Linked DNA regions of Rhinolophus ferrumequinum. The protein of the gene in region 4 interacts with the protein of the main gene of each other region in a biochemical or structural test. Links are inferred from orthologs where the notes say so. Each region holds a gene or a part of one and is shown on either strand. Other genes may lie near its edges. The genes, in order: SH2B3, MPDZ, LYN and KIT.

Evidence for each region.
Region 1: the proteins of KIT (region 4) and SH2B3 form a complex in vitro, tested with the Homo sapiens proteins (2 studies listed by BioGRID and IntAct, with this or other methods). The link is inferred for Rhinolophus ferrumequinum from reciprocal best matches to the Homo sapiens genes KIT and SH2B3.
Region 2: the proteins of KIT (region 4) and MPDZ form a complex in vitro, tested with the Homo sapiens proteins (2 studies listed by BioGRID and IntAct, with this or other methods). The link is inferred for Rhinolophus ferrumequinum from reciprocal best matches to the Homo sapiens genes KIT and MPDZ.
Region 3: the proteins of KIT (region 4) and LYN form a complex in vitro, tested with the Homo sapiens proteins (2 studies listed by BioGRID and IntAct, with this or other methods). The link is inferred for Rhinolophus ferrumequinum from reciprocal best matches to the Homo sapiens genes KIT and LYN.

Annotation. Positions count from the first base shown.
Region 1 is NC_046308.1:6,770,726-6,777,897, reverse strand, and holds the start of SH2B3 (SH2B adapter protein 3), read right to left. Parts: upstream 3,015-7,172; 5' UTR 2,629-3,014; intron 1-2,628. UniProt on the Homo sapiens protein: Links T-cell receptor activation signal to phospholipase C-gamma-1, GRB2 and phosphatidylinositol 3-kinase.
Region 2 is NC_046295.1:25,013,272-25,020,529, forward strand, and holds the start of MPDZ (multiple PDZ domain protein), read left to right. Parts: upstream 1-4,249; 5' UTR 4,250-4,541; intron 4,542-7,258. UniProt on the Homo sapiens protein: Member of the NMDAR signaling complex that may play a role in control of AMPAR potentiation and synaptic plasticity in excitatory synapses. Promotes clustering of HT2RC at the cell surface.
Region 3 is NC_046297.1:22,212,465-22,219,741, forward strand, and holds the start of LYN (tyrosine-protein kinase Lyn), read right to left. Parts: upstream 3,023-7,277; 5' UTR 2,727-3,022; coding exon 2,252-2,726; intron 1-2,251. UniProt on the Homo sapiens protein: Non-receptor tyrosine-protein kinase that transmits signals from cell surface receptors and plays an important role in the regulation of innate and adaptive immune responses, hematopoiesis, responses to growth factors and cytokines, integrin signaling, but also responses to DNA damage and genotoxic agents.
Region 4 is NC_046288.1:16,906,701-16,913,704, reverse strand, and holds the start of KIT (mast/stem cell growth factor receptor Kit), read right to left. Parts: upstream 3,002-7,004; 5' UTR 2,917-3,001; coding exon 2,850-2,916; intron 2,415-2,849; exon of another isoform or gene 2,160-2,414; intron 1-2,159. UniProt on the Homo sapiens protein: Tyrosine-protein kinase that acts as a cell-surface receptor for the cytokine KITLG/SCF and plays an essential role in the regulation of cell survival and proliferation, hematopoiesis, stem cell maintenance, gametogenesis, mast cell development, migration and function, and in melanogenesis.

The DNA.
Region 1 (7,172 bases), on a different chromosome or scaffold from region 4:
CAGGCTCATATACCCTGGCGAGGCCGGGATTTGGGGCCCTCCATGGGCAGGGTAGACCCAGGGAAGTCAGGTAACTTGCCCAGAGGCCTTACAGCCAGAAGCTGGCAGGGACCATATGTGGCTTCAAAGCCCATGATGTTACCAGGGAGAAGTGGGAACTTAACAGGAAAGGCCGCTCATTTAATAATAATAATAATAATTAAAGTGCCAGGCCCAGCACTAAGTGCTTTATGTGCCCTGTCTCTGACACTCAATGTGTGTGTAGGGGGGTGAGGCCGAGGACTAGCAGCGGGAGGTCCCTCTAAGTGCCTTCAGCCCCACCCCCTTGGAAAGGTTCCATCCAGGATGTAGAGGGTGACCTGGGCTGGCACAAGAGGCCCCAGACATCCAAGGGGCCCCATGGGCTGAACTGCTGCAGGGCTACCCAGTGCCTGCTGGGCCCAGGCTACCACCAGAAGTTGATGTGTATTAGAAAGTTCTCTCTATCAGAGAAGGGTCATGCCCAGGGTTCAGAAGAATGGCGGTGGGGGTGAGGGGACCAGGGAGGAAAACAAGCAGAACTAACATCCACGACAGGGTAACAACAATCTCATTACTCCTCCTCCTCCTCCTGATCTCGCTGCTCAAACACTTGGTGAATTCACTCATTTATGGTTCCAACGACCCTAAGAAGTGGTACTATTATCACACATTTGACATATGAGGAAACTGAGACTGGGTGGATAAGCAAGGTCTCATAGCCAGAAAACACCATGAGCTCATCCTGACTGGCTCTTCAGAATTCTTCTCCCCAAGACTCAGGAAGCCTCAGAGCCCAACATGCAGGAGGTGCTCAAGGTGCCACTGGTGAACATTCCACAGCCAGTAACACTAACGATGGCAATGACAGAATCACCACCTCCATGTAAATAACCCTTTCTCTGCCAGGCAGCAGGTGCTTCTCACACTCTGGCTCATTAAGTCTCTACCACAAATCTGTTATTACCCCATTTAACATAATGGGAAACTGAGGTTTATGAGTGGCACTTGCCCCCACCCTTGGCTAGAAATAGACCCCAACAGCTGATACTGCAGTCCAGCCCCTTCCCAGCCTGCAGCCTCTGTGGCCCACAGGGACTCACACAAGTTCTAGGAATGTTCACCCTTTGGCTCAGAAGGATTTTCCCTCCCAGGGGGGGGTTGTGGGAAAAGGCTCAGAAAAAGTGTATTAAAAACCCTTCCAACTTCCCCGATGGGCCCTGGCCTCTAATCCACTGACCCCAGCCCGCCCAGGCGGCCTCTGCCTGCTCTCCCTGCATTAGGCCTGTGTCTCTGGCCCCCACAGGCTCCCGGGAGCCGCCAGAGCTGTTTCTGCTCTGGCAGCCAGGTCAGTGATGGGAAATCCAGACACAACTCTCGCCCACAATCCTGGAGACCCACACGCCCACTGCTGGCAGGGGCCCCAAGACTGGACTAATGGGGAGCCAGAATGAGCTAGCGGCCCCACCTGAGCCTGGCAGCTGGCTGGTGTCAGGGGATGCTCACCTCCCAGATGAGCAAGGGGGTTACAGGTCAGATCTCAGCCCCTCCTGCCCCAAAGCTGGACCTTGGCCCTGCAGACATCGCCTTGACAGGTCCTCTGCTCTGAAGCTCTCGGCCTGAAGCCCCCAGCCAGAACCCCAATTTCACTTCCTTCCACTCAGTCTGTCCTGGGCATGCCCCACCCTGGAGGCCCCCAGCTGCAAGCAATGACCTCCTCACCTACATCATCGTGGCCGCGGGAATGGGGAAGAGAAACAGGAGAATGAGGAAACTAATGAAATAAAGAAGTGGGACAGGCCGGCAGGCCCCCCCCCCCCCCAGTTCCTCAAATGCAGTCCCCATCATTCCAAAAGCCCCGGCGGCCAAAGAGGGGAGGGGTGGAGGGGATTTCTTCGCCAGGCATTGAAGACCTCTGAAATACCCTCCCAGGTCTGCTAACCTATAAATCCAATGCACTCCACTCCACTCCTCTTTTTTGGTGGGAGGATACCCTTGTAGCCCCAGCTCCTACTTGTGAGGGTACCAGCCCAAAGAGACTTGGGCTCTGGGACCGCCTAACCCTTGCGAACCAAATTCTATGGCATGGGGGCACCTGACCCTGCCCACCCCTACAATGCAGGGAGTGGGGAGAGGGACTTCCCAAATCCAGCGCTGTCCTCTTGGCCACATGGCCTGACCTGGGAGAGGGGGTAGGGAGCGGCGGCTGGAGGGGCTCTTCGTTCTCACAACCTCAGTTTGATTACTTTCACTTTCAAGGTACCAAGTGGTGACCCCTGACCCTTCCTTACCGGGCACAAGTTGAGGGGAAATGCTGCCCTCCAGGTGCTTTAAGAGGTGGACTGGGGGTGTTAGCCATACCCTCTCTCAGCGCCTCCCCCACTGCCTCAACTCCCCCCGTTACATCTCCAACACGTGTGTGGGTGGGGGCGTCGCAGGATCTGGAGAAGGGTCACACCAGAACACGCCACCCGAGTTACCTGCAGGGCAACATTTTAGGCTGTTGTGGGAGTGCGCAGACACTGGGCAGAACTAGACATGGGCCTCCTCTTCCCCCATTAAAGCCCTCTAAGCCCCACAGGAGGGAAGCGCCGGGAAAGGCGGGCTTACCTGAGAGAGAGGGGGTCCGGGCCGGGCCGGCCCATGGCGTCGCGCGCCTCCGGGCCCCCGAAATCCCGAGGGGGCGGGCGGGCCCCCGCCCCGGGCGCGTTCTCTCCTGCGCGCCGGCTGCTGGCTCGCGGCTCGCTCGAGCGGGGCTCAGGCAGGAAACCCGGGCTCGGAAAATGGCCAGCGTCTCATCATTTCCGCCGCCAGCGCTTGACAGTTGCGGGAGGATGCGCCCCCGGGCCGCCACCGGGGAAACTTTGCTGCTGCGGCCGCCGTCCCCACCGCGGGCCGCGATAGTCCGGGCAGGCGGCCGGGCGGAGGCGGTGGCCCGAGCCCATTCCGCCCCGCGCCGTTATGTAAAGAGGAACCGGCTATGCTAGCGGAGCCTGGCGGGGGAGGACGGCCATGGGGGCGGGGCCACACGAGGCCACACCCCTATTTTACCACGAGCCACTCAGTCGGAGGGGGCGGGGCTTTCATGGCCCCGCCCAACAACCCTGCTCCTCCGCGGCTGACCAGGTCCTAGGGTCTCAAACGCGAACCCGACGAGAGGCGGGGCTTTGTTAAACCACGCCCACATTTTGCCCACCCGGTTTCTCTTCATGCAGCCTAAAGAAGGGAATGAATGGCCGGAGGGGCTGGACAACTTTGGCCCCACCCACCTAGCGCTCGCAGACCACCAAGTACCTCAGCGCTGCCGGGGCGGAGCCAGATGTTGGAAAGGCGGAGCCTGAGGGCGGGGCCGGGCCGAGCCGCCTGGCCTCTAGGGGGCGCGCCCCTGCCGACTCCCTCCTGCTGGGCCTTATCTGTGCGCGTCCGGCGGGTCCGTGCAATAGCGCCAGCGGCTTTCATCATCACCCAGGGAAGGATCCCAACACCGCCCAGCCCCGAGTATCCACAACACTGTTGAGTCGACCCGCCACGATCCCAGCGTCCCCATTCAGATTCCGTTCCCACCGTCAGCTCAGCTCTTTGCCTCAGCGCGTGCCCATACAAGCCGGCTTCTATCCTATCTACAGATCACCCGTCACCCTACTCCAAGAGTGCATCTTTCTCCGGGAAGCTCTCCCGGACCGCTGACTCCCATGCCCCGTGGGCCTGCCTCTCTCCTCTCCCCCGGAATACTTTCATTTTCTCTATGACCTTACGTGGGGTGAGGTTGACAGTGGGGTTCCCCCTAGTCTGAGATGGAGCATACGCTCAGCCAGCCCTTCCCCCAACACATGGGAGGGAGGAGAGAGGAAAAATGTCTCCTCTTCCTTTCCTCCCACACATGAAACAAGTCGCTCACGCCCCCAGCTTGCAGGGGCCACATCACCCCTTCCTTGACAGCATACTCCTCCATTCCGCTGCTTCTGCCCCTTACTAGCCTTGGGTAAGTGACTAGTAAGTCATTTGGACTTCTCCGCATCTCAGTTCCCTCATCTCTGAAATGGAAATGATAAAAGTACTCACTCCACTGGGTTCCTGCCAGGATTAAATGAGTTAATGCATTAAAGCAGTTAGCATGGGACTTGCCTGAAGAGAACACTGCTACATGAGTGTTTATGAAACAATCCAGCCTAGTCCTGCCCTTGGAGCTACAGAAAGGGGTTCCCCGGAAGGTGGGGATTTCCAGACTCCACCCAGATGGGGGAAGAGGTGCTAGTCTGCTGTAGGATCCTTGGAGACCCATAACCTTGAAGGAACTGGACATAACTCTGTGCTTTCCAAAAATCTGTATTAAATACCTACTGTGTGCCAGGCACTGTTCTAGGTGCTGGGGACACAGCAGTAAACAAGAAAAATATCCCTGTCCTCATGGAGCTGACATTCTGGTGGGGGGACAGAGGACATAAATAAACGAATGGGATAATGTATTACAAAGATGACAAAACAGTTACAGGACGGAGAAGAGGCTGTCTTAGACTGGAGGCTCAGGGAGGACCTCTCTGAAGAGCTAACATTGGAGCTGAAACCACCCCTCTGCCCCACCCCACAGCAAGAAGGATCCAGGCATGATAAGGTTTGAAGGAAGGGCATTCCAGGCCAAAGGAACAGCAGTGCAAAGGTCCTGAGGTGGGAATAAGCTTGGTGTGATCGAGGAAAATCAAGAAAGCAGTGGTGGGGTGGCCAGTTAGGTCAGTTGGTTAGAACGTGGTGCTGGTAGCACCAAGGTTGCCAGTTCGATCCCTGCATGGGCCACTGTGAGCTGCGCCCTCCTTAAAAAAAAAAAAAAAAAAAAAAAAAGGCAGTGGTGATACCTAGACTGATAGACAGGAAGAGATGAAGTTGGAAAAGCCGTCTCATCAAATGGAGACTGGAAGGTCCTGGTGACAAGCTTGGGAATTCTCTGAGAGCAACAGGGAGCGATGGAGGGTTTTGAGCCGAAGGACCTGTTGAACTCTGGACTCTTGAATTCTAGCTGGAAAGTCTGCAGTTGGCAACCCATTAGGAGGTGCCCCAGTGATGTTCACCCCCCATCTGACGATGTGGGACAATGGGTGGGGGAAGTATCAGGAGCTTAAACTGATCACCCTATATTATTATAGTTTTATTACACTTGGGGAGACCGAGGGCCAGAGAGAGCAGTTACTTGCCTGCAGTCAAAAAGCTGCCCAGTGTTGCCAACAGAGCAGCCTGGTACACAGCAGTTGTCAAATGGTTGCTGAAATCTGCCAGCCACAGGCACTTTCCCTCTCACTGCCCAGACGGCAGTTCTGCTGACTTAAACGGAGAGTTGTGGTTCTTCCCCTTTTTAATCACTGCGAAAGCCTCCTCTCTCGCCAGATTTCTCTGAGGCCCAAAGTGGTTTTCTTTCTCACTTAATTTCTTCTCACCAGCATCCCCTTCAGGGCCCAGTTTCTGGTTTCGACGCTCTCCGCGATCGAGACTTCTCACTTTTTGTTTTTGTTTTTCCTTAGAAAGGCAAAGGGTTTACAAGGAATCCCCTTCCATCGCCTTGCCTTGCCTTGCCCTAGATTTGACAGCATCATGGCTCAGAGCACCAATTTCATCTTCTCTGAGGAGAGGCTGGCTCCTCCCACTCCGCAGGTCACTGGGGCCCCAAAAGAGAAAAAGGTTTGAATTCCCCGGAAACAAGCAAGGCGGTCTGAGCTGAGGAGGACCCACCACCTTTCCTTCCAATGGGTGAAAGCACCTGCTGTCTGCCAAGTTCCAGGGGCCAGACACTCTCAGGGTTAATAACAAAATAGTTGACAACAATATCAAGAAATACTTATTAATACCATTAATAGTAATGTTAACAATTGACAATAATAACCATAACAAAATGAAAGTTAAGTGGTACAAGATTAATCATAAATGGGTTGATAAAATTATAATAATGGAACGATGGTTAACAGGTCTAATGAATAATAATAGCTACAATTAACTATGACAGGATTAATAGCAAATATAAAACAGCAATAGGATATTAGTAGTCATAATAAATAACACCGTTCACAGGTCTAGGAATAATAGTAATAATAGAAGCTAAGGCTTACAGGATTAATAATAATATAGCAATAGGTTAGTAATAATATTAATAAATGTAATATTATAATAATATAATCATAGTTAACAATAACAGCACTTAATAGTTACAGGATTAATAATAAATATAAAAATAATAATAGGCTAGGACAGGATTAACAGTAACAGATATAATAACAGTATAATTATAACAGTTAACAGAGCTAGGCTTAATAATAATATGATTAATAGTTTTTGAGACTTGCTTGATGCCAAGCATTCCACTAAAGCAGTGCTGACAAATGAGACTTTCTGTGACAATGGAAATGTTCTCTCATGTCCAATATGGCCACCACTAGCCATACGGGACTTCTGAGCTCTGGAAATGTGGCTAGTGTCACTGAGTAACGGACTTCATAACTTTATTTAATGTTAATCAACTAAAATTTAAATAGCCACATGTAGCCAGTGGTTACTGTACTGGACAGCACAGTTCTGGACATTTTACATATGTTAACTCATTTAATTCTCATGACAGCCCTGGGGTAGGAACCGTTACTGTTATTGCTGTCCCCTTTTTATGATGAGGAAACTGAGGCACTGAAAAGTTAAGTCATTAGCCCTGGTCCGAGTCTCTCCCCACATCAAGGTGGGGAGACAACAGGATGCCGTTGTCTGAGGGGGCTCTTAATTAAGAATGAAGGTTCTGGGGTCACCCAGACAGATTTAGAATTTTGTTCAGCCTTCTCTCGGCTATGTGGTCAATGAACTATTTGGGCCTCGGTTTCCTCATCTGTAAAATGGGGACAATCACAGGGCTGACCTCACTGTGTTCCAGGGGAGAATTTGATGAGAAACCTTACATTAAGGGCTTGGGAGTTTGGGTGGCTCTTCTACATAACACATGCTCAATAAAGAATGTCGGCGTAATCTATAATCGGTGTGAGAGTAGTACATCCCGAAAGGGCTGTGAAGAGTGGTGGCCACAGAGACTTGCCCCTGTGGATGATACACCCTCACACCCTCACACCCAGTGTCCACATGAGGACACTGAGGCTTGAGAGTAAAGACTGTAGCCCAAGGTCACCCAGCCA
Region 2 (7,258 bases), on a different chromosome or scaffold from region 4:
GTTTGCATTGTTTTAGTTGCAAGTACAGAAAACCCAATTCAAACTAGTTTAAGAACGAAAGGAGATTTATTGGCTCATATAAACGGAAATACATGGGATGGGGTGGGCTTCAGGTAATGTGTGATCCAGTGACATAATGGTAGTCTCAAAAACTCAGTTTTTTTCCTCTATTCCTTTTGCCATCACAAAGTAGGAGCATTAGCAAAAAGATACTGTGCAAGTTAGAGTTCTTTTCATTATCATTAGTGTTTTTTTCTTGGTTTTTGCTTGGATAACTGACATGTACCCTCATAGTATGCGTGACCCAGAAGAAAAATTTTGTAGGAGAAAGATTCCAAAATGTCATTCTAGCTTGCCTTAACTTGAATAGAGATTCCTAAAGTGTTTGGATGTGTTCCACCCAAAAAATAACCTGGTCCCAATGCTTTCTCCCAGGATTTCCTCACTGCACCAGAATGCTGTGTATACAAAAGCAAATGAATTCAAGGTCAGATGGTCATGACCTCCCAGTGACTTTTCTTTCTCCCTTAGAGAGATGAGACCCAATTAGATACACTGTAGCTTTCAGTGCCTCTATTCCTCTATAAACAGTTTTTTATATGAATAGACAGATAACCCTACATATTTTCAAAAGATATATAATTTTTACATTTTCCTCATGCCTAAGATTCTTTCTTAGCCATTCCCTCTTCCTACTAGTTTTCTCCTACGTGTAGACACGCTCGTATATATGTTCATTATCCTAACATTCTCCTTTCTTCTGCTTTTTAAAAAATCTTCTGTTTTCAACGGATAAAAAAAGTTAAAGATTGTTTAAAATGGTCTATTTTTGTCTAACATTGAAAGAAATGAAAAACTGCAAAAAAGTATCTAAACTCTTTTATTTGAGAAACTAGAGGCCAATTGAAGCCTTTGTTTCAGTCAGCCAGTAGACAAAACATAAAAATCTCTCTGCAAACTATAATAATCAGAACTGCATATTTGCTATATATTAGATAATTTGTAGTCAGAGGGAAATCTAAACATGCCATCTAGTTTGCCCTTACATGAAGCATTAGTAATAAAAGGCACAGCTGGTTAAAGGTACAGAAATAGTCTACTGTCTCACAATTAGAATTCCCCCAAAGTCAGTCTTTGGGAAAGGATTTGGTTCACACAAAATGCTGATCCTGGGGCTCTGGTAAAACCAGTGAGGGACTGCCTGTCATCCACACCTAGGTGAACTGTTGTTAGGAGAGCAGCACAAAGACTGTGTGCTTGGGAGGCAGCTAAAATGGATCAAAATGGAATTTCCTGCATCCATCTTTCAAGCAAATATTAAAGGTTTTGAGTAGACAACTTGGGCCTTCCACCAGTTTCAGAGTTGTAGAGGAGCAACACATGTAAACTAATATTATGTATTTAATTTATGTTTATACTTGTTAAGTTATAGTAAAAATAATTTAAATCAATTTTGGAAGTCCCCATTTATCCTTACAAAAAGGGTCTGAACATTACTCAACTTTGAGAAAAACAAGTTGCTGTGGAGAATGTCTCACTGAGGATAGAGCTGGAATGCAGACAGCATTCCTAATTCCTTCATCTTCAGATTCCGGAGGCTGTGATTGACACGAAATAGAAAGAACTATTAATTGATATTAAATGAAGTGACTTTCAACAGAGAATGACAGTTCTATTTTATCTGCTTTAGACTTTGGCTTTCTCAGTAACATTTTACTTCAACTTTTAAAATGTTTTTCAATAGTGCTGTGCATCACATTGCCTTGTTCCTTCTCGAAAATCTCGGGCCTTCTGGGTTAGAACAAGTAGAAGTGGCTAGCTAGAGCACTAACTATATGGGTTAACTTCAAAGGGGAAGCTCTTGGGTAGAATATGCTCAAGCGCTGGATAATTTTATGGAAGAACTAATGTAAACTAATGTCCTATGATATACCACTGCTTAAAGTGCACGTGTAGGATTCCTTACGCTAAATGAGATCTGGAGAATATTCTCATTTATATACTTGCAATAAACCAGAGAGTTCAATTCCTTAAACTTGCCTCTAATTCAGTATTGTGAACTATTTCCCTATGTTTCAATGGAACAAATGTCATTTTACCTTTTAAGACCCTGATAACATCTTCAGTAGCTAGTTATGGAATTGTTCTCCGCCTGTACTTTTCCTACCAGCTAGCATTCCATGCCCTTATTTCCTTTGCATTTGAGAATGACCAGATTGGAAAATGACAAATGGAAGTGCTTTGCTATTCAAGGAAGTAGGAATGCTTTGGAATTTCTAAGCAGTAAGATAATGCTCTCCAAAAGGGATGACTTGAGATGACTCTATGGCAAGAACACAAGGTCATGTGGAAAAATCGTTCACTCTTGCGCACATATATATATCTGATGTCCTTTAAATACTAATTGGGTGTAAAAGTCTTTCTAGGCTCTGAGGATGAAATGGTGACTTGGTCATCGCTTTTGTGGACTTTATGATCAAAGGCGGAAGAGAAACTGCATAAGTAATTACAAAACCAAATATACAATTAGAAAGTAGGATGAATGCTATGAAGCAAAAGTATAGGGCACAATGAGAATGGATCACAGTGGGTTTATCTTAACTTGTGGGAATCATGGAGTAATGTCCATTCACTGGTAGTGCCGTTCACTGAGACACTGAACAGTGAAAGATGACCAGATCTGAGCAGAAATATCATGGTTCCATTTTGGATAATCTAGGTTTGAGACAGGCAAACAGGGAAGTCAAATAAATACTCAGATGTATGGAGGAGTGTGGATCGAAGATAAAAATTTGGAAATCCTTGACCAATAGATGATAAGCTAGACGTGAAGATGAACTCAGGGATGAATTAAAAAGAAAAGAGCGCCTGTTACTGGGTCTATCACAGCCTTTAAAGATTTGGGAGAGGAGGCTGGTTGGGAAAGAGATTGAAGAGTGTGTGGACTGATGACAGGCAGATCTACCTCAAAGCTAACGAAGCTTAAGATTCTGGGTCCTTCTCTTGCCTGGGAGAAGCCCTAGCAAAATGTTTACAGAGTCACATATTTGTGCAAAACTTTCAAAAGATATATATATATATATATATATATATATATATATATATATATATACATACATATATATAATTTTTTTTTCTTAAAGCAGAGCCCCACATTGTATAAGCTTCAGGTCCCACACATCTTCCCCTAGCTAACAAGCAGGAGCAAAAGTAAGAGTGTGATTGCAGCGGGGGCAGGTTGAGGGGGGTGGACTTCAGAAGAAAATATTCAACTAACCATTACTAATGCATCTGAGAGGACAAGAAATATGTGAGGAACATTTCCATTGGATTTAGGTAGTGGGAGTTCATAGGTGTCCCCAGGAAGTTATCTTTTCAGTGTGGTGAATGAGGTAGGAAGTCAGATGCAGTTGGTTGATTTTAAGAACTTGACCTGTGAAGGAGAGGGGAGAAAGAGTGGTAGCAGAAAAGAGCTGGACTCTGGTGGAAGGTTTTTCTTCTTCTCTCTCTTCTCTCTCCTCTCTCTCCCTCTCTCTCTCCTCTCTCTCTCTCTCTCTCTCTCTCTGTCTCTTATTCTCTCTCTCCCAAAACTTGATTTTAAGTGCTTTGCTATTCAGAGGAGTAATGCTTTGGAATTTCTAAGCAATAACAGAATCCTCCCCAAATGGCCTCGAGATAACGCTATGGCAAGAACACAGAACTTATGTAGACAAAATGTCCTTAAGGAGGAGACTGAGAATGTTGATTGATAGAAATGTATTAAAGATACAAGGGAACAGATCAGCTGGGATGAGTTTTACCTTCATCCTAACTGCACTTTCATTTTCAAAGGACCCAGAGGAGATGGATATCCATAGACTCGGAGGAAATTTAGGTGTTTTTACTTTCCCAGTGGGCAAATCTACACTGACCATATGTTTGTGAAAGCAAAAGGGGCTTTGGGCTGATGGCACTCTCCACCCAGGGCAGTGCGTTCATTTTACTCAATTCCCAATCATTTGCAGGAAATGATCTATTTTCCAGCTTTCTGAAAACAACCTCTTTTATTTGACACTCACATTTCACGGGGCGCCCTGCATTATTTCTGGCAACCTCACCGAGCTCGTTCCCTACATCCCAGGCCTAGCGCCCTAGGAGCTAGTTTAAAACCCAGGACCGCTGGTCAGGCGGCGCCCCTGATTGGCCGAGGCGCGCCCGCCCCGCCGGCTGCAGGCGTCACGCAGCCCCGGCCGCCGCGGCCCGCCGCCTCCTCGGTCGCCGCTTCCTCCGCAGCCCGGGTCGGCGCAAGTGCGGCGCGCGCTGGGGGAGGGGGCGCGGCGGAGCGCGAGGCTGGCGTCGGGCCGCCGGCGGCCGTGCGGGATTAAGTTTCGCGGTCCCGCGTGAGTGTGCGCGTTTGTCCCGAAGCTCCTCGCCGGGCCGTTACTTCAGAAGAGAAGAGAGAGAGCGTGGGCGAGGAGAAGCACCCCGAGTCCCCGGAGACCCCAGCTCCCCAGCCCTCCGCCCCTTTTCCGTCTCTGCCCGGGGCGGCCGCCGCGAGCCGGGTAAGCGGCGCCGGGAGGCCGGGGCGCGTCCCCGCGCCTGTGCGCGCGCCGGCCGGGGGTGCGCGGGTGCCCGGGGCTTGGCGGGCGGGGTGCGCTCGCCCCACCCCACGAGGCCCGGGAAGCCGCTGCTTCTCTGGCTCTTTAAAAGGATGGGGTCTGGAAGTTTCTTTCCTATGCTACTCGCATCGCCCCTGAGCGAAAATCCCAGATCTTTCGGCCCTTTCCCCCCCAAATCCTCGCTCTTGCCTACTTGAAATGGTTTAAAAGTTTTTTATTTCTTCTTTTGCTTCGTTTGGAGGGGCACAATGCCAAGGGGGGACCCCGGGCCTGGCGCGCGGGCCGGTTGCTGTCCACCGCTGTGGCCGCCCCGCATGCGGGACACCCGGTCCCCCGTTACGCGGTGCGGGGCTGTGCGGGGTGGGTAAGGGGTGGGTAGAAATGCCCCCCACACTGGTGTCTCCCGCCTCGGCGGCGGGGAACCCAGAGCGCGCCGCTAATTGGTACGCCATCCCCCACCCCCACCGTGGCGCCCGTACCTTTTTATCTGCTGCCGGGGTTGGTACGAGCATTTTGCTCTCGCCTCCCCCTTCACCTCTCCTGTCCCCGTGCCCCCGCCCCGCGACGTTGAGGCGCTTTTGTCTGCGATTTCGCAGCCCGGGGATGCCGGATGTTCCTGGGGAAGCACTGTTCGGGAGACGCTTTGTGTGTGGGGGAGTGTGTGTGTCAGTGATGGTGATGGTGTACATTTTTGCCTGCGTTCTTTGCAGAGGCACAAAGGCCGGCTATTCTTTCCTGCAGATCACTTGGAAATTGAAGCTGGCACTGCGGAGTGGAGGAGGGGCCAGGCCCGGGCGGGAGGTGGCCGCCGCCGGGGGGCCGAGTTGGGGTTGGCGGGTTGTCTCCATCCATCTCCCAGGGTGGGGCTGCGGAGGCTACTCGGCTGGAGAAGAAGCTGGGCACGAGCACCATGTGCCTTGAGTGGGGAGGTGCGGGTGGCGACTAGGGTTTCATCGGTATCATCAGATAAGAGGACCGTGACTTCACCAAGCTAGGAGGAAACCTTTCCATGTTCTTTTGATGTCGAGAGGAAAGAATCTGAAAAGTGGTCTATCATCCAACTTTGGTGGACAGCTGTGGTGTAACCATCCCTTTTGTGTTTCCGCAGGCATTCCTCATTTAGGCTACAATTTACAGAATAAATAACACCTGATACCAGAAACTAAGGTGGTGATAGTTTGGGAATTTTTACGTGTTGAGTTGGGATGTGGGTGACTGCAATGAACTTTTGGTAAGGGTCAAAACATCTAAATTTGTGTATGTGCTTTTAGCGCCTGGTGGAATTTAGGTTAACGATTGCATTTTGAAAACAACAAAACTTGAAAATCCTTGGCTTGAATTTCGAATGCAAAGCAAAGCTCTAGATGCCTACGCCTGTGCCCATGCCTGAGAGTGGGGAGGTAGAGGGCAGTGGGGATAACCTTGTGTGGGATGCCCAGGTACGCTGCTTGCTAATGTGCTGGTTAACAAATGGGCGGGTCTAGACTGGGCTCTATCCCTGTAGAGTTATCCCTGTTCACATTAGGGTCCTTTAAAGCGGAGGTCTGTAAATTTAAGGACTATGGGTCAAATCTGCCTGCTGCAGTCAGTTGGCTGTCCCCCGTAAGGTTTAGGAGCTAGGAATGGTTTGTACATTTTTAAATGGTTGAAAAAAAAGCAAATCAAAAGAATATTTCATATAATATTTCAAAATTATACGAAAATCAAATCTCAGTGTCCGTAGTAAAGTTTTACAGCCACATGGATTCCTGCTGTTTGTGTCTCATTCTTAGCCTGTATGGCTTTCACAGCTACAGTGGCAGAGTTGAATAATGGCATAGTTTAGAGAGATGTAGACCCTTCAAAGTATAAAATATTTACTGTGTTACCCTGTATAGAGAAAGTTGCCAACCATGGCCAGGCTTTTAAAGTACTGCTTAAATATTCCCTTTGGTCGTGGGTGCATTCTTAACTAATTTCATTGCCTTTCAAGTCCTGTTTCAGTGCCCCCTGAAGTGGCAGACTTTTCTCCAATAGGCAGAATAAGTTAGTGTGTCAGATTTTCTTATTTCCAAGTTTCACTCTCAAAAATTTTTCTTAACCATTTGGTATCTTTTTCTGTTAGACTCTAGAATAAAGTAGGGTTTGTGATTAGCAGAAATTATGCACTTAGTTATTCTAAGTTTAATGTAGTCATATTTCAAGGTATTCTTCAGTGAATTCTAGTAACTTCTAGCTGTTCTGTTACCTGAGTAGATTTGAAAATTACAGTTTTGTTTATTTAGGTAGAGAGAGGCGGGGGTTAGGACACGTCATAGGTTTCTTTGCACAGGCAAGTTATCATTTAGACAAAGGTAATTTTGCGGGGGGGTCCCCTGGACTCTTCCCCACTCCTCTTTCCTACCTCATTTGCTGAAATAAACAAAAAACTGATGAAGTTTATCTCAACCTATTACTAATAGATCTATCATATTTGTACCACACCTCTTAAATGTGTTCCTTTTCTTTCTTTGGTTGGCTCCTTTCAGTATTTCTTATCCCCTCTGGTGTCTGTTTTTTTTTTTTTTTTTTTTTTCCCCTCCCTTTATCTCCTTTACCTGACTGTTCTGGCCTGGGAAGAGAGAGGTGTCAGTCACAATTTTTTGTGTGCGCCAAATTCCTATCATGCAGACATTGCCCTG
Region 3 (7,277 bases), on a different chromosome or scaffold from region 4:
TATTCATTTGAACCAACTCGCATCTCAGATGTTTTGGTGATTTATTTTTGAATACAAATATAGTGGAACTAAAAGTCTTTGAAAATCATTGATGTGCAAAACTGCTGGACTACTTTTCTACTAAAAGAATACAAATTCTCCACATATCTTTGCTACACCAATGACTCTAAGATAAAGTGGGTCTTTTGGGTTGCCAAACTACTTTTGCAGGCTATATCTTATACTCCAAATCAAGCCCCTTCTCCAGGTAATACAGCAGAGTAACCAGTCCTGAGTGGAGTTTCCCACTTAGAGCTGGCTCTGAGATAACTTAACAGTCCAAAAAGTCCCTCAAATCCCCGCTTTAGAAACCAGGACAGAGGACCGGTAGGCTTCAAATGCCTTAGGAACCAGGCCTGTTCCTTCTGCCTTGCATAGGGCCATACTTCATTCGTTCTTCCAAGTAATCTCAACTATGTGAGAGGCTCCGGGGCTAGCATTTCAGACAAGACAGACAAAGCTGTAATCATGGAGCTTTCATTGTAGTATACACACGCTAGCAATTCATAATATAACTCTGATTACTTCTATGAAGGAAACGTTGGCTAAATAAATGGCCCAAGTAACTTATCCCAAATCATAGCTCTGGTAAATGGTAGAACAGACCCTACCTCAGGTTTCCTGGCTTCTGTGTTCTCTTCCCTTACTTTGGGGCCTTCTAACCTTTCCTCAGGAACAGGGTTGTCCCACTGTGCATTTAAAAAGGCCCTATCACCAAAAGCCTCTTGTGATCAAGTTAAAGTTCTTCAAGTCTTAAGACATTTACTTCTTTACCTCCAAGTGAAAACCAGGGATTACCTGAATCCCACCATTTGCCAGCAGAGCTCACTTACTGGAAGGACTTTGAGTACTTAAGAACTGCCTGTATTCTGTCGGTGCCTACTCCCGGTGGCACTACTTTAGGTGTTGCCTGTCTTCCTGAACCCTACAGCCAGCTGAGGGCAGCCAATAAATCACAAGTAAGTCAGACATCCTTATTGGCTAGTCTTAGGGTGAGCCAGACTCCTGGGCCCTGCTTTGGGACAGCAAAACTCTGGTATATTTATTAAGCAGATTTATTAATAAGGACAGGTGGCTAAATCAGACAGATAGTCTTAGGTTTAAAATCATCAAATTGCAAAGAACCAGGGAGCCTTGTTTTTTTTTTTTTTATGGAAAGAATTATTTGCAATAAATAACAGCGCCATTCATTAAATAACTACAACAAATAGCACAGGAGGTAGACAGGTTCTCCCAAAGATGAGGAAACTCAAAAAGGGTATTTCAACCACAAGCCCAGGTTCACACTCAGGTGGGAAATTGTAAGGCCTCCATTCCACTCGGGTTTCTGAGACGGCAAAGTAGTTGGGTGGATTTGGGGTAAAACACAAACACACGTTGGAGACATGACCACAGAACCACGCTGGCTGTACAGCATCTAGAAGCCATCACAGGAGGCCAAGATAACGCAGGACAGTGGGAAGTGACGCTTACACCCTTCCCCCAAGGCAAAAGAAAGGCAACCCCTGAATTCTTAAAATAACTCTCGCTTCCTCCAGGCGGACCGAGGCACGGGACTGCTGCTCTGCAGGCCGAGAGGCGCCTGGCTCAGCGGGAGGGTGCGCACCAGCCTCCACCGCACCCCCTCGACGTCACGCTGCTGCCGGGGCTCTGGAGGAGGGCAACTGCCCGCGGGTCTGGAAGAGGGCCGCGACCGAGCCCCACCCCTCGCCTCTGGGGACCTGGGCCCAACGGGAAGCCCAGATTGTGCAACCCGAGGAATCCCCACCAGGGTCCCGGCCAGAATCCCTGCCGCGCCCACTCTGCGTGGAGAGGGGCTTCCCTGTGACGCTCTGGGAGTGGCCGAGTGGGGACAGCATGCGGCCCTCGGGTCTGCGCCAGAGGGCCTCGAGGTGTGTCCGCCCGCGCGCCCGCTCTTCCACCACACCCCTGCGCGGCTCCCTGGAGGAGACACCTGCTGAGCTGCTCGCCCCCGCGTCCTCGCCCCTCCTGGCCCGGTCACCCACAGGCTGAAGGCATCTGGGTGCCCTCACCGCCCGGCCGAGCGCCAGGACTGGCAGGAAGGGGCGTGCGTCCCACGTTCCCGCGGTCCGCGCCGACCCCCGGCCCCTGGCCCAGGGCCTGCCTCACGCCCGAGACTCCAGCCAGTGGCACAGAGGCGGACCCCGCCCGGTCCGCCCTGGAGCCCGCGCTCTTGGTGCTTGAGACTCACCAGCTCGCGGTGAAAGTAGCGGGGCGAAGGGGGCGGCGGCGGCGGCGCTCCACGGTGACTTGAGTTCAGAGCCCGGGGCGCGACGGGGCGGCCCAGCAGGGCTCGCGTAGAGTGGGGCTGCGGGCTGGGAACCGAGGACGAGCGGCGGGGGTCTGCAGGCTAGGGGCCCGGGGTGACGCGGCCGCCCCGCCTGACACGAGCTGGAGGCTGCAGCGCGTCGGTCCCGGAGGCGCCACGGCCGAGAACGAGCGGCGGGCGGCCGGGCGCGGCGGGAGAGGAACTGGCTGTCGCTGGGCTCGGCCGAGAGGTCCCAGCTACTTCCTGGTGCTCGGATTTGCATACTGCGCCCAGGGGGCGGGGAAGTGACCGTTTGGACCCTGCCCAAGGTTTGGATCTTTCGTGTGGCCGTCGCGCGGAGCTTTGAAGGCAAAGAAACCTGGCGTCCCAGTGAGCGGAGCTGCCTCGGGCCCAACATTCTGTTGTAGAGACGACAGAAGGATCTTCCAGTGAGACCCTCTGGAGTCTTGGCACAGACGAAACATCTTGCTTCTTCTTTCCTTCCCTTCCAACCTAGTTCTCAAGGTATTAGGAAGTGGGGTGTCCCTGACAGGAGAGGTGGCGTGCTCTGATCCCCCAACTTTTGGAGTTCTTTAAAGGTAGGATGAGATGTGTTGAGTTGGTGCTTCATTGAGTTCTTAATGAGTACAGAGTAAGCTCCTTAAGGGTGTACACGGTGGTGTTCAGAGTATTGATGGGAGGCAGGGGGCTCCTGAGTTAAATGGCTTGGCAACTACTCAGTTCCTCAAAACTTAGATTTCCTCCTGGGAAAATGGATGCCTACCTCGCAGGGTTACCGGGAGGATGGGCTCACGCTGTGTCTAGCACACATTAATGGTTGCTAACTTTTTATTCCTACTATCTCCACATCTCCACATGTAACACTGTGTTTGGCACATGACAGGTGCCAAACACAGTGTTTGTTGAAAGAATGACTGCGTCTTCAAGTGTGTATTCCAAGTCAGTAAATGACACTTATAAATCCAAGGCATAATATTAGTCTCAGTCACCGTGGATGCGCACTTGTTCTAAGCAAGATTCTGTTCACTGGGATCCCAGCATTGCACTACACTGTGGAATTTACAAGGAAATAAACAGAACCCTGTAGAAGATGTGGTCTTTGTGTTAATAATAGCAAACACTTACATGGGGACTCTTGGGTGCCGGATACAGCGCTAAGCACTTCAGACCAATTACCTTTTATTAACAATGTTCTTAAGAGGCTGGCCCCACCTGAGGAGGCTACAGCCACAGTCCAGCAGTGAGATCAGCCACCTTGAAACAAAATCCCATAAATCAGTCATTTGTTACTGGTAAGAGAATAGAAGGTTTGCAAACTACTGCCTTAAATGAAAAAAAAAATAAAAAGCAAGGTAGTTTATACCTGTGATGTTCACTGGTATGGGTCTGTAGTGGTTAGTTTCCTGCTGAAGAGGAGGGAGTAGGTTGCCTGTTGGAAGGTGTTGATTGTGTGAGTGAAATCTGTCACAGATTCTATGGAGTAATTCACTGCCTAAGTCCCATTTCCTGGACTTTTCATCAGGTTGACCTCTCAAGTACATTGGCCCTAAATTAAATATTTACTATTACCAGTGAGTCCTTAAGATCCTGCTAAAGGTATGTTGGCAATAAAGAATGGGAAACAAAATATTTGGTGTTGGTTAATCCATCTGGAATAACCTGTGGTTTTTGGTAAAATGTCTCCTGGAGTAAGGAACAAAGCATCATCAGGCAGAGCTGGGCTTTCACTCATCACCATTTCTAAGTCCTCACACAAAAGCATCCTAGCTAAGTTCGTCACTTAATTTATCTAGAGCGCTTACAGTGGGAAACAGTCATTTTAAACCAGACTTAGGTACTTTTTAGCATTGTCTACCTTGGTTTCACATGTTAACTTTCTCTCAACTACTGGTAAATAGTAAATCCCTCTTTGGAAGGCATTGCTTCTTACATTTACCCTTTTCCCATTGTATCCCTCAAAAGTCTTCTTAGGTGCTTTAAAATACTTCGTTAGCATTGATGGATTGGTTCTTGATTGATGGACTGAGTTGTCTCAACAGTCTTCTCTATTGAGAATTGAGCACAGAATGGAATGATCAGAGGCAGGTTGCAAATCAACAAAGACCCCTTGACAGGGGAAGCAGGCTTTGCAGAAGGTGAGGGATGTAAGCAAGGAGGACAGAAGGAAGGAGGAGTGAAAATGGCTTCAACTACGTACAATCCATTCTTAGTTTTTTCAGATTCAGATTCCGCATTTGCAAATTTACCTACTCACTAAAATGTATCTGTAACCCCAAAACCAGTACTCACAGCACTTCATAGTCATTTGTGGACGTGAGCACAGCAGTAAAAATTTGAATCTCTCTGCGTTCACACTCCCAGCCAACGTCAAACAAGGCGATGCCCTGCCTTCTGTTTTAGCTCTAATACTATAAACATGCATCTTTTGTGTGGTCTGTGTAGTGCCTTGGTTTTTCATTTCTGTGCTTTTTGTTTTTGATTTCAATGTTTCACTACCCTCAAGTGTAGTGCTGAAGTGCTGTCTAGTGTCCTAAGAGCAAGAAGGCTTTGATGTGTCTTGTGGAGGAAATACGTGTGTTAGAGAAGCTTCGTTCAGGTGTGAGTTATGGTGCTGTTGGCTGTGAGTTCAATGTTAGTGAGTCAACAATATATATTAAATAAGGTGTCTTTCAGGAGATTCACACATAAAACAAGGTCATCTATACATCAGTTGATGTAAATATGGTGACCAGAGAGACTCACAGCAACCCAACCCTGTATTCGTCCCAGGAACAATGTTTCGATGTTAGCTAATTCATTGTTTGTGGTAACTTTATAGATCATAACTACGGCAAATAATGAGAATTGACTGTGATAAGAACATACCATCATTCACTGGAAGAGACATGAAATCTCTGACCTCAAGGAAATTCTCCTTCAACACAGGCTTTCATCACCACACCCCTGACCATGGCACTTGCAGCCGAGACTGGTCACTCCTGGTGCACACTTTCACACCAGCCTACCCCCCCTGCCGTCTGATCTGCAGCCCATCCTACTGCTTAGCTATGGACTGTCCCTGGTGCCCCTTCCACTCTTCTGGGAGCTGCCTTTCCGGGTTTCAGACTCCTCAGTCCAACACAGGGACTCTTTTGGATTGTCTGCACAAGCCTCCTGGTTGGCCTTGCAGGAAGGGGAAGAGTGGAGGATAAGACTCTCCATCTGACTCTTACAAACATGGCTGCAGACCTGGTTCTTGAGGCCCAAGTAGCACATAATACAGAGCAGTGGCACATGAGACTCACCTGCCCAGGTCCGACCCAGATAATTAAATCAAAGTTGGTGGGGTGGGAGAAAATGGGACCCAATAATCAAGCTCCCTGGATGGTTCCAATAAGCAGCCAGGATTGGGAGCCACTATGAAAGCATCCCAACCAAACATCCTGGGAGAATATGGGACATGTTTGCCAAACAAATGGGTTTCTACCCATCACCAGCATTCCAATAAAATACACTAGAAAGACTCTCATCTGACACACTTGGGCCCGATGAATCAAAACCATTGTTTAAAGTGGGGGAAATCATAAAAATGATATAAATGTGCTTTAGACATTTTACTTGTATTTTAACCTAAAGTATATTCAATTACTGCCAATCTGTTGTGTAATGCCAGGGTGTTTCCTCTGAGTATGAGACCCCTGCTTGGTGTTTCTGTGTCACCTTTCTTACCTAAAAGACACCCATGAAAACTCATCTCTGATTTCTAATTATACCTTTGTGGAAGCAGAAGAAAAGCCGGCAAAGCCGTGTCACTCACTCAGTCTCTTACCTTCTCAGCTACCTTACCCACACCTAATGCAGCAGAATTATTTGCTTTTACCATTATTTACCTGTGACTGCTTTCAAATATTCAACTTAGTTTGCATAGCAATAACATCTTCACTCATATTTTTTAAGTTTCTATTTAATTAAATTGCCTATTTGTAGTAGCAGGCACAAATTGACATGAAAACCACTGACTTTTGGAAAAGTATGTAAGTGTTGCCAAGAGGAGAGGGTTCATTTTGCTGGAGGGATAGAGCGGTGTTTCACAGAGGGAAGCAAGAGTGTTGGTTCATCCAGAGTTCCTTGGGAAGAGGCTGGTTTCTGAAGCTTTCTGTCAGAACTACCTCCCAGAAACTGGACAGGTCGTGTTATGTTAAAGCCTCTAGTCAATCCTCACACCAACCAGGTTTTATTTTCTACATTTGATAGACATGAAAATGGTCTCCAAAGGGGTAGGGAACTTTCTCAAATTCACCTTGCTGAAGTGGCTCCCGCTGGATTTGAACCCCTTTCTGTCTGACTGACTGACATCAAAGCTGGAGCTTGTCCCCTTAGTTTGCAACACCTTCTACAAAGTTGGGGCTTCTCAGCCCGGTACATCACAGAAACAGCACACATTTAGCGCCTGAAAGCAAACAGGGCTAAATGTAGGCCAGGGCCTTCTCAATACTTTCACGTTATAAAGGAACATCCATGCTACCTGAACGAGAAATGTTAAAAACTGAGCCAAATTATAATGGTAATAGCTCCCATAACATAATTAGCATTGGAATCTTATCAAATTTATAGCAAAGTTAATTTGTCCTTCAATGATACACAAAATGGTGCTACATGGTAATTAGACCACAATGTAAAACTATGCATAAAAATATTGTCTCATGTAGTCAGATTGGGGGTTCTGGGGCCTACTGGGGAGTGTCTAGCAGGTAAGAGGGAGAATTGATTCTGACTTCATTTCTGTTTCCTTTCTGAGGAAGGAGGCCCTAGTGCCACATCCTCCTCCTTCCCTACCTTCTGATCTTCAGTGAGGATGCCCAGACCCTCAAATCAAGCTGGTCTCAGGACCTTAGTATCTGCCCTGCCCCCAGTTCTAATTCTAGAGGTGCCAAATCTGTTTTCTAGCTGCTCTGAAGGTATCTAGAAC
Region 4 (7,004 bases):
ATTCATTAAATAGTTTCAAATGAATCTCACTTTACAACTGATTCTGGTAAGTCGTGTCAATAGATATACAGTTGGGCACATGGGACCAACCTCAGGCTTCACTGCTGATTATTCTGGGAACTGACTTGTTCTCAGCCAGTTCTTCCAGCTATAAAAACGATAGGGGGAAAAAAAAAACCGATAGGGATGGTGACAGTACTGCCTCTGATGCTTGTTGAGAGAACGGGAAATGTCAGGTAATGGTCCCAGCACAGGGCCATGCACACAGTTTCCAATGAAAGAGCAACAACTATGTACAACACACACATAATGTGAAATTTCAGGCGCCTAGAAAAACATATTGCAAGGGCACAGCATACATGATTTATAAAGTCGTAAGAACAAACGTGTGGATGAGTGGGAAAGGCCAGAATGGGGATAAATGACTTATCTGGGATCCCTTTATAAGACCATCATATTATTTCCAGCAGGATAATAATCCAGAATGTGTCCAGCTGCTGGGAATGACGCTAGCCTCACACCTGCAGGAACAAGGGGAAGGTTATGATTCACTGCTCCCTGCAGGTTCATCCAGCTGAGCACAGGCGTTGTAAATACTGGAGGGGGAGTTGCTGCCAAGATGGTACCTCCTAGCCCTCAGAGTGAAACTGTAGGTGAGCACATGTGGACTGAGGACAGGAAAGCACAAGCCACACATCCCTGCTTTAGCCGGGGGTAGATCAATAGGATATGACCAAGTGGTTGGACCCTGTGACTAGGAGAGGCAGAGGAATTTCAAGGAGGTAGAAAGGAATCAGGTAAAGAGTTCAGAAGAAGTGTACAGCCTACACTCAGAACACTGGAAGAGGAGAATTTTGGACCCAAAGGATCCTTCACAATGAAGATGCCTCACTGTCCTCTTGAGGATACTGGGCCCCCCAGAATTTAAGCGACCTGCCCAAGGGCACACAGCCAATAAATCATTGAGAAAAGAAAAACCAGAGGGCAGCACAGAGGCTTTCTCACTACACCATACTGCGCCTCCCTCCCCCAGAAGCCAGACGGTAAAATTCCCTTTGCCAAAAAATCTATTGGATGGAGCAGGCTAATTATGAGGAAGAAGGAAGCAACTGATTCATTTAATTTTTACAAAGAGAACCATTCTGTGTGGTTTATCTTTCTAGTGCCCTACTGCGTCCGGTTCACATACCTTAACTGAAATTAAAACTGCCACAGCACAAAGACCTAAGGACCAAACCTATCATTTGAAGCTTAGGCGATCAAATCCATCACGGAATCCACTCACTGGTGATCCTTCCTACCACAAAGGGGTCCAGATGCAAGGCCTCTCTTCCCCCACAGGAAAGCCCTCACAATGCCTTACAAGACCTGGAAGACGGAGGCTGCATCTTGAGACTTCATGGGAAAACTGAACGGTAGTCCAGAGTCCCACTATAGTTCACTGCGATGCTTGCTGCCTTTGGAACCCCTGAATTCCAGTTCAAACTCACTTTCTAGCCATCATCAGGGTAGCCTTAAAGGTTTTTTGGGTTTTTTTCAGTGACCTGGGAGAGAGCAGTACAGGGGTTGGTTGGGCCACCTGCAATGGTTCACGCACCAGCAACACCCAGAAAAAAGGGAAGAAGGGAAAGGAATCTGACTGAGGGCTTCCAGAAATCCTCCTCCTCAACATTAACACCTAAGTTCCCGCGCAGATATAACCGGATTTTCACAACAGCTTTAAGATCCCAGGAGGATTTGCAGAAAGTTCCACTCCATCTCCCACCTACCCCATCCCCACCTCCATCTCAGGCGGCCCTTAAGTATAGCTATCACGTGGAAGGGGGTGTTGTGAATCTCAGAATTCCCAAAGAAAACAGGGACCTGCGATTACAGGTCGCAGACCCCGATTCGAGGGGCTTGCAGAGCCCCGCCAGCCTGGCCGGGCTCTCCGGCTGAGCGCTGCAGACGGCCGGGGTCAGGGACCTCAGTGTCCCAACGCACCGTCCCTGTCTCTCCCAAGAACAGGCTGCAAACGCAGCCTCCGGCAGCACCGAGGCGCGTGGCAGGAAAGAAACAGCACCGCGGCAGAAAAGGATAAGCCTCCAGCACGAGATTTACAAAAGCAAAAAGTCTGCAACCTAGCGGCTGCTTTCCACACGCCCTGGCGCCCAAGTTACCTCTGCAGCCGCCACATCAGAATCGCACTCGGCGGACACCCGGTGCAAAAGCATAACCCGTGGGCTGGGGGACGCCGCGGCCTTCGACTTGTGTCCACGGGTGGCGCCACGAGCAGAGGCGGCAGTGGGTCGGTCCCCAGCTCTGGGGCACAAAGAGCGCCAGGTTGGAAAGCAGCAGCCGCAGAGCTAAAAAAAAAGCTCTCCAACTTTGCCCTCGGCGTGACTGAGAACCTGCGGGCCAGTCCTCCAGTGCGCCGGTCACACAAGCGCAACTTTTAACAAAAGGAAGAAGCGGCCGCGCCACGCACCGCGGAGATAACGCTCGGGGTGCAAACCCGGGACTCGCCCGCCTCTGCCCCTGCGCACTCTTCGCACAAAAGCAACCCCAAACTTGCAAGCAGCCCGCGCCCTCAGCCTGCACCTAGCTCAAGCCTAACCCCACTCGTTGCCCTCTTGCCTGGGAGACCCCAGCTCAGCGCCCCTAGCACCAGCGACTGGGGGATCCTCCCGCAGGTGAGCGAGGCTGGGCGCAGGAGAGTCCCCGGGACGCCTCGATCTGCCAGGAGGCTGAAACGCAGGGGCACTGTGGGCCGGCGGCCACCTCTCCGGACACACCCCAGAGAGCTGCAGCCCTCAGGGGCACAGGCAGCGGCAGGGGGCGCGAACCCGGTGTCCGCCGCGCTCTCCCACCTGTCTGGAGGCCGAGCAGGAGAAGCAGGACGCAGAGAAAATCCCAGGCGCCGCGAGCGCCTCTCATCGCGGTGGCTGCTCTGGGATCGGAGCTCCGTTCCAGGTTCCAGCTCTCGCCCAAGTGCACCGAGCGCGGCAAAGCCGAGCCCCCAGAGCCGCGAGCGCGGAGCAGCAGCCCCTCCTCCCAGCGCCCTCCCTCTGAGCGCCGGCCACGCCCCTTCTCGGCGCCCCTCCTCGCCTCCCCTCCCTCCCTCGCTCCCTCCCTGCGGCGTTTGGCCCTTGCTCTTTCGACCTGGTAATCCCGTGGGGGTTAAACCCACGGGGAGAAGGAGGGCGTGCCAGCCTTTGCTGCCCGCTTTCAAAACCGGAGCCCCTCTCCACCTCTCGTCCCCTGTGATGTGATCGGTCTACCAGAAGCCGTTCCCGGACGAGGGTGGTGCTGCCCGCGCGCTTTGTGAAGCTGGGCACCACGCGCACATTAGGACACGGGCCCGCCACCTGGCAGGTGCTCCCCAGATAATAAAGGTCCGCCGCTCTCTCCTCGAGCACGCCCGCGAGGGAAGAGGCTGGACGCCGCAGGTGGTGGACGTGGTGCCGGGACAGGAATTGGGGCGCAGTGGAAAGGGGGTTAGGAATTAGAGCCCGATATTCTTTTCCATTCCTGTTAGTCGAGGGAGACCAGGCGCGGCGCCTGGCACAGCGGTAAAAGGCTCAGCCAGGGCGTAGGTAATTCTTTATGCTCGATTTCTCCACCTGCTCCCTAACCTGTAACAGCACAGTTGGTTTCTATTCGTCAGAGTGGCCTCAGCCCAACAAGCTCCTGCTGAGACTTCTAGAGACTGGGGCTTTGGAGTGGGGAGGGGCGCCTTGCGAAGTTTGCTCCGGGATCCACAGTCGTGCTAAAACCCTTTGGGCGCCTTTTTTTTTTCCCCCCTTTCCCTGTATGGTTTCTCTGCCTCTCTATCAGACGACAGTTATAGGGGTGGGGATCCGAGGGTTCCTCTTAGCTGCCTTACAGCTAAGGCAGCTCTAAGGGAGCAAAATAATAGTAAAATGATTCTCTTAAGCCAGGTGCCACTGCCTAGGAAGTGCTTTACCCAAGGTAACAGTACTATCTGTATAGAGTTTTATAGTTCCTTCTTACACTGAATATTATTTCATGCTCACAATAACAGTTTTGTGAGGTAGGTAGAGCAGATACGTTTATTATTTTATTTCTAAAAGTGGTTCGATCACTTTTAGAAATAGCTAACAGCTAACAGAGGAGACCCAGTCATTTTAAGAATAATTCGAGGTATGATGAGCTTTCCCTATGCATTCTAATAACACAGTAAAACACCCCTTCAGAGAGCTTCAGGATGGAAACTAAATGGGAAGAGGGGGGTTGCCCATCAGAAAGTGATGGAATAATTTAGATATACTTAGACTCTTCTCTACAATAGCATCCAAAATTTGTAACTACCCCCCCCACACACACACACTTTATTTAATATTGAAATCTCTCCTGTCTGATGTTGATATAGGACCTAAGCTGGTTTAAGAAAAATGATTTTCAAAGCTAAACAAACAACTTAAAAATTGTCACTACTCGATCAATGTGTATGATTGCTTGTCTAAATTTGTTTATTCATTCAACAAGCATTTAGGTGTCTACTGGGAACAAAGAGGCACTATTGTTAATAGACAGATGTGGGCCCTACCACAATCTTTACAGTCAAGTGGGAGAACCACACCCCAGTATCCTAGCAAATGGTTCAAGTTGTACAGCTAAAATTCAAAGTTCTCTGTTTGTGTTTTGGGCCATTGGACCGTATCTTTTTCTTAGGATGACAGAGGTAAAAGCTACCACTCAAAGCAATCATGAGTTTCTGGGATCTTGATTTATTTCTAAAATCCATTTTGTAGTGAGAAAAAATCACTATGGGTTAAAATACCAACAATATGCCTTAGAGAAAATTTACAATTTTCTCCTTCAATCAACTGAGATTGGAAAGGATAACAAGTCTTCAGAAGAGTGGGTGAAAAGAGACCATATTGCAATTTAATTCTAAGCAGGAAAATTCTATTAGGAAAAATACCAGAATAGGGAATTTTACAATGCTGGACCGTCATTCATATTCACCATTCAACAAACATCTATTGAGCACCTAGGTAGGCACAAGACCTACAAAAAATCAATTAAGACAAAGTCCCTGTCTAGAGGGATTCATAGTCCTGGGGGAATAAAACATACCCAAATAAGAAACTATAATATCTTCTACCAGAGCTCATGTGCAGCCAGTACACACCACGTTGGCCATATTGATTGGTAGAATGTTGAAATCCTTCTGCACTCATTGGGGAAAAAAGCTGCCACTCCCCTAAATATCTAAATGCTGCCTAAATCCAACCCCTTTCTTTTTTTTTTTTTTTCTCATCAGATCCAGCAATTAAAGGTTTAATACTGGGCAGAGCAGAGATCTCCAGTCTCTGCGCCTTTATGGTTCATACCCCCTGCCAGCTAATGTACTATAAGGAGGCATCTAGAAGAGACTAGGAATGAACTGTTTTCAGAATGAAATATCTTAGAACATGTCCAACAGAAATACTTACAATGATGGAAATGTTTTATATCTCAGGATGTATGGGACCGGTTCTGTACTCTATTTTGTGATAGCCCTGGACCCTTTCATGAATTATACTTTACATTTTTTATTGTATTTATAATTGTATTTTTGACTGCAAGTTGTAGAAACCCAGCTTAAATTGACTTAAGCAAACAAAGAAACCTAAAATTTATTGGCTTTTACAACTGAAAAGTCCAGGCAGACTTTCCCAGATCCAAAAACTGAAAGTCATAAGGACTCAAAAGTGGTGGTGGTGATGGTGGTGGTGGTGGTGATGGTGGTGGTGGTGGTGGTGGTGGTGGTGGTGGTGATGGTGGTGGTGGTGGTGGTGGTGGTGTGTGTGTGTGTGTGTGTGTATACGTGCATTTTTCTCTATCTCCATCCGTCAGCAGTACTTTCCTGTGTTGCTTCCCTGTATTTGTGAACACTCAGGCAGCTCTAGGCTTACAGCTCATTGAGCTGTTCTGCCCTCGTGAACATCTATAAAAGTACTGACTTATTTTAAGTCACATGACCATCTGGAACCAGTTACTGAAGCCAGATGGCATATGAGGATTGGCCTCTGCTGGGTCACATGCGCACCCCTGGAGCCAGGGTTGGGGTCCACTTCACCCACATCACAAGGCCATTCTTAATGAGGAGGGGTGTGTCCTCACCAAAAATTTAGGTACTGTCACTGTAAGAAGGAGGAATGATGCTGGACAAATACAACAAAAGATATTCACTCTAGTCTCACACAGCCCAAACCTCTAACTTGAAAATTTTTCATATTTCTGATTATAAAAGTAAAGATGCTTATGGTAAAAACTTTAGAAAATACACAAAATGATAAGAATGAACCAAAACAAAATCACCCAATATATAATTAGCTGAAAAGTTCATTTTGGTGTGTTTCTTTCAAATTTTTTTCCTACGTATTCTAAGGTTTTTTTTCCCTTTATATAATTTCAGATTTTATAATATTTGCTAGTTTTCTATCCAGCTTTTTCATTAATCATAACATACGAGTAAGCAGTCATTAAAAATTTTCTGGAAAAATAACATATAATGGCAGTATAATGTTCAGTTGTATATATGTACCATAATTCTGGATGTTTAATCATTTCTCTATTGTTTTCGGTTTTTTTCCCTACACAAATTACTTGGTGATGAATATCTTGGTGAATAAAAATCTCTTGCCTCTGATTATTTTCTTAGGATAGATTCCTAGAGGTAAAATTACTACACCAAGGGTATAATCCTTTTCAAGTTTACTACTTAATAGTTTCTGTTTTTCCAATAACCATTAGAACTGGCTAGGTGTTGTCACTTGTCCATAAAGTGGGATAAATGAATATATGATCCTTATTGCTAGACTCAATACTAACAATAACCACCTCACAGTTTGTGAGGCTGAAAGAAGATGAAGCATGCTCTCAGTTCAAGCTTTCATTCAGTATTTATTGAACATTACCTATGTGCCAGAGGTGCTACAATAATTGCTGGCAATGCGAAGTTCAACAAAATACAGATGCTGCACTCATGAGTTTTGCAGAGAAAGAAGAGAGAC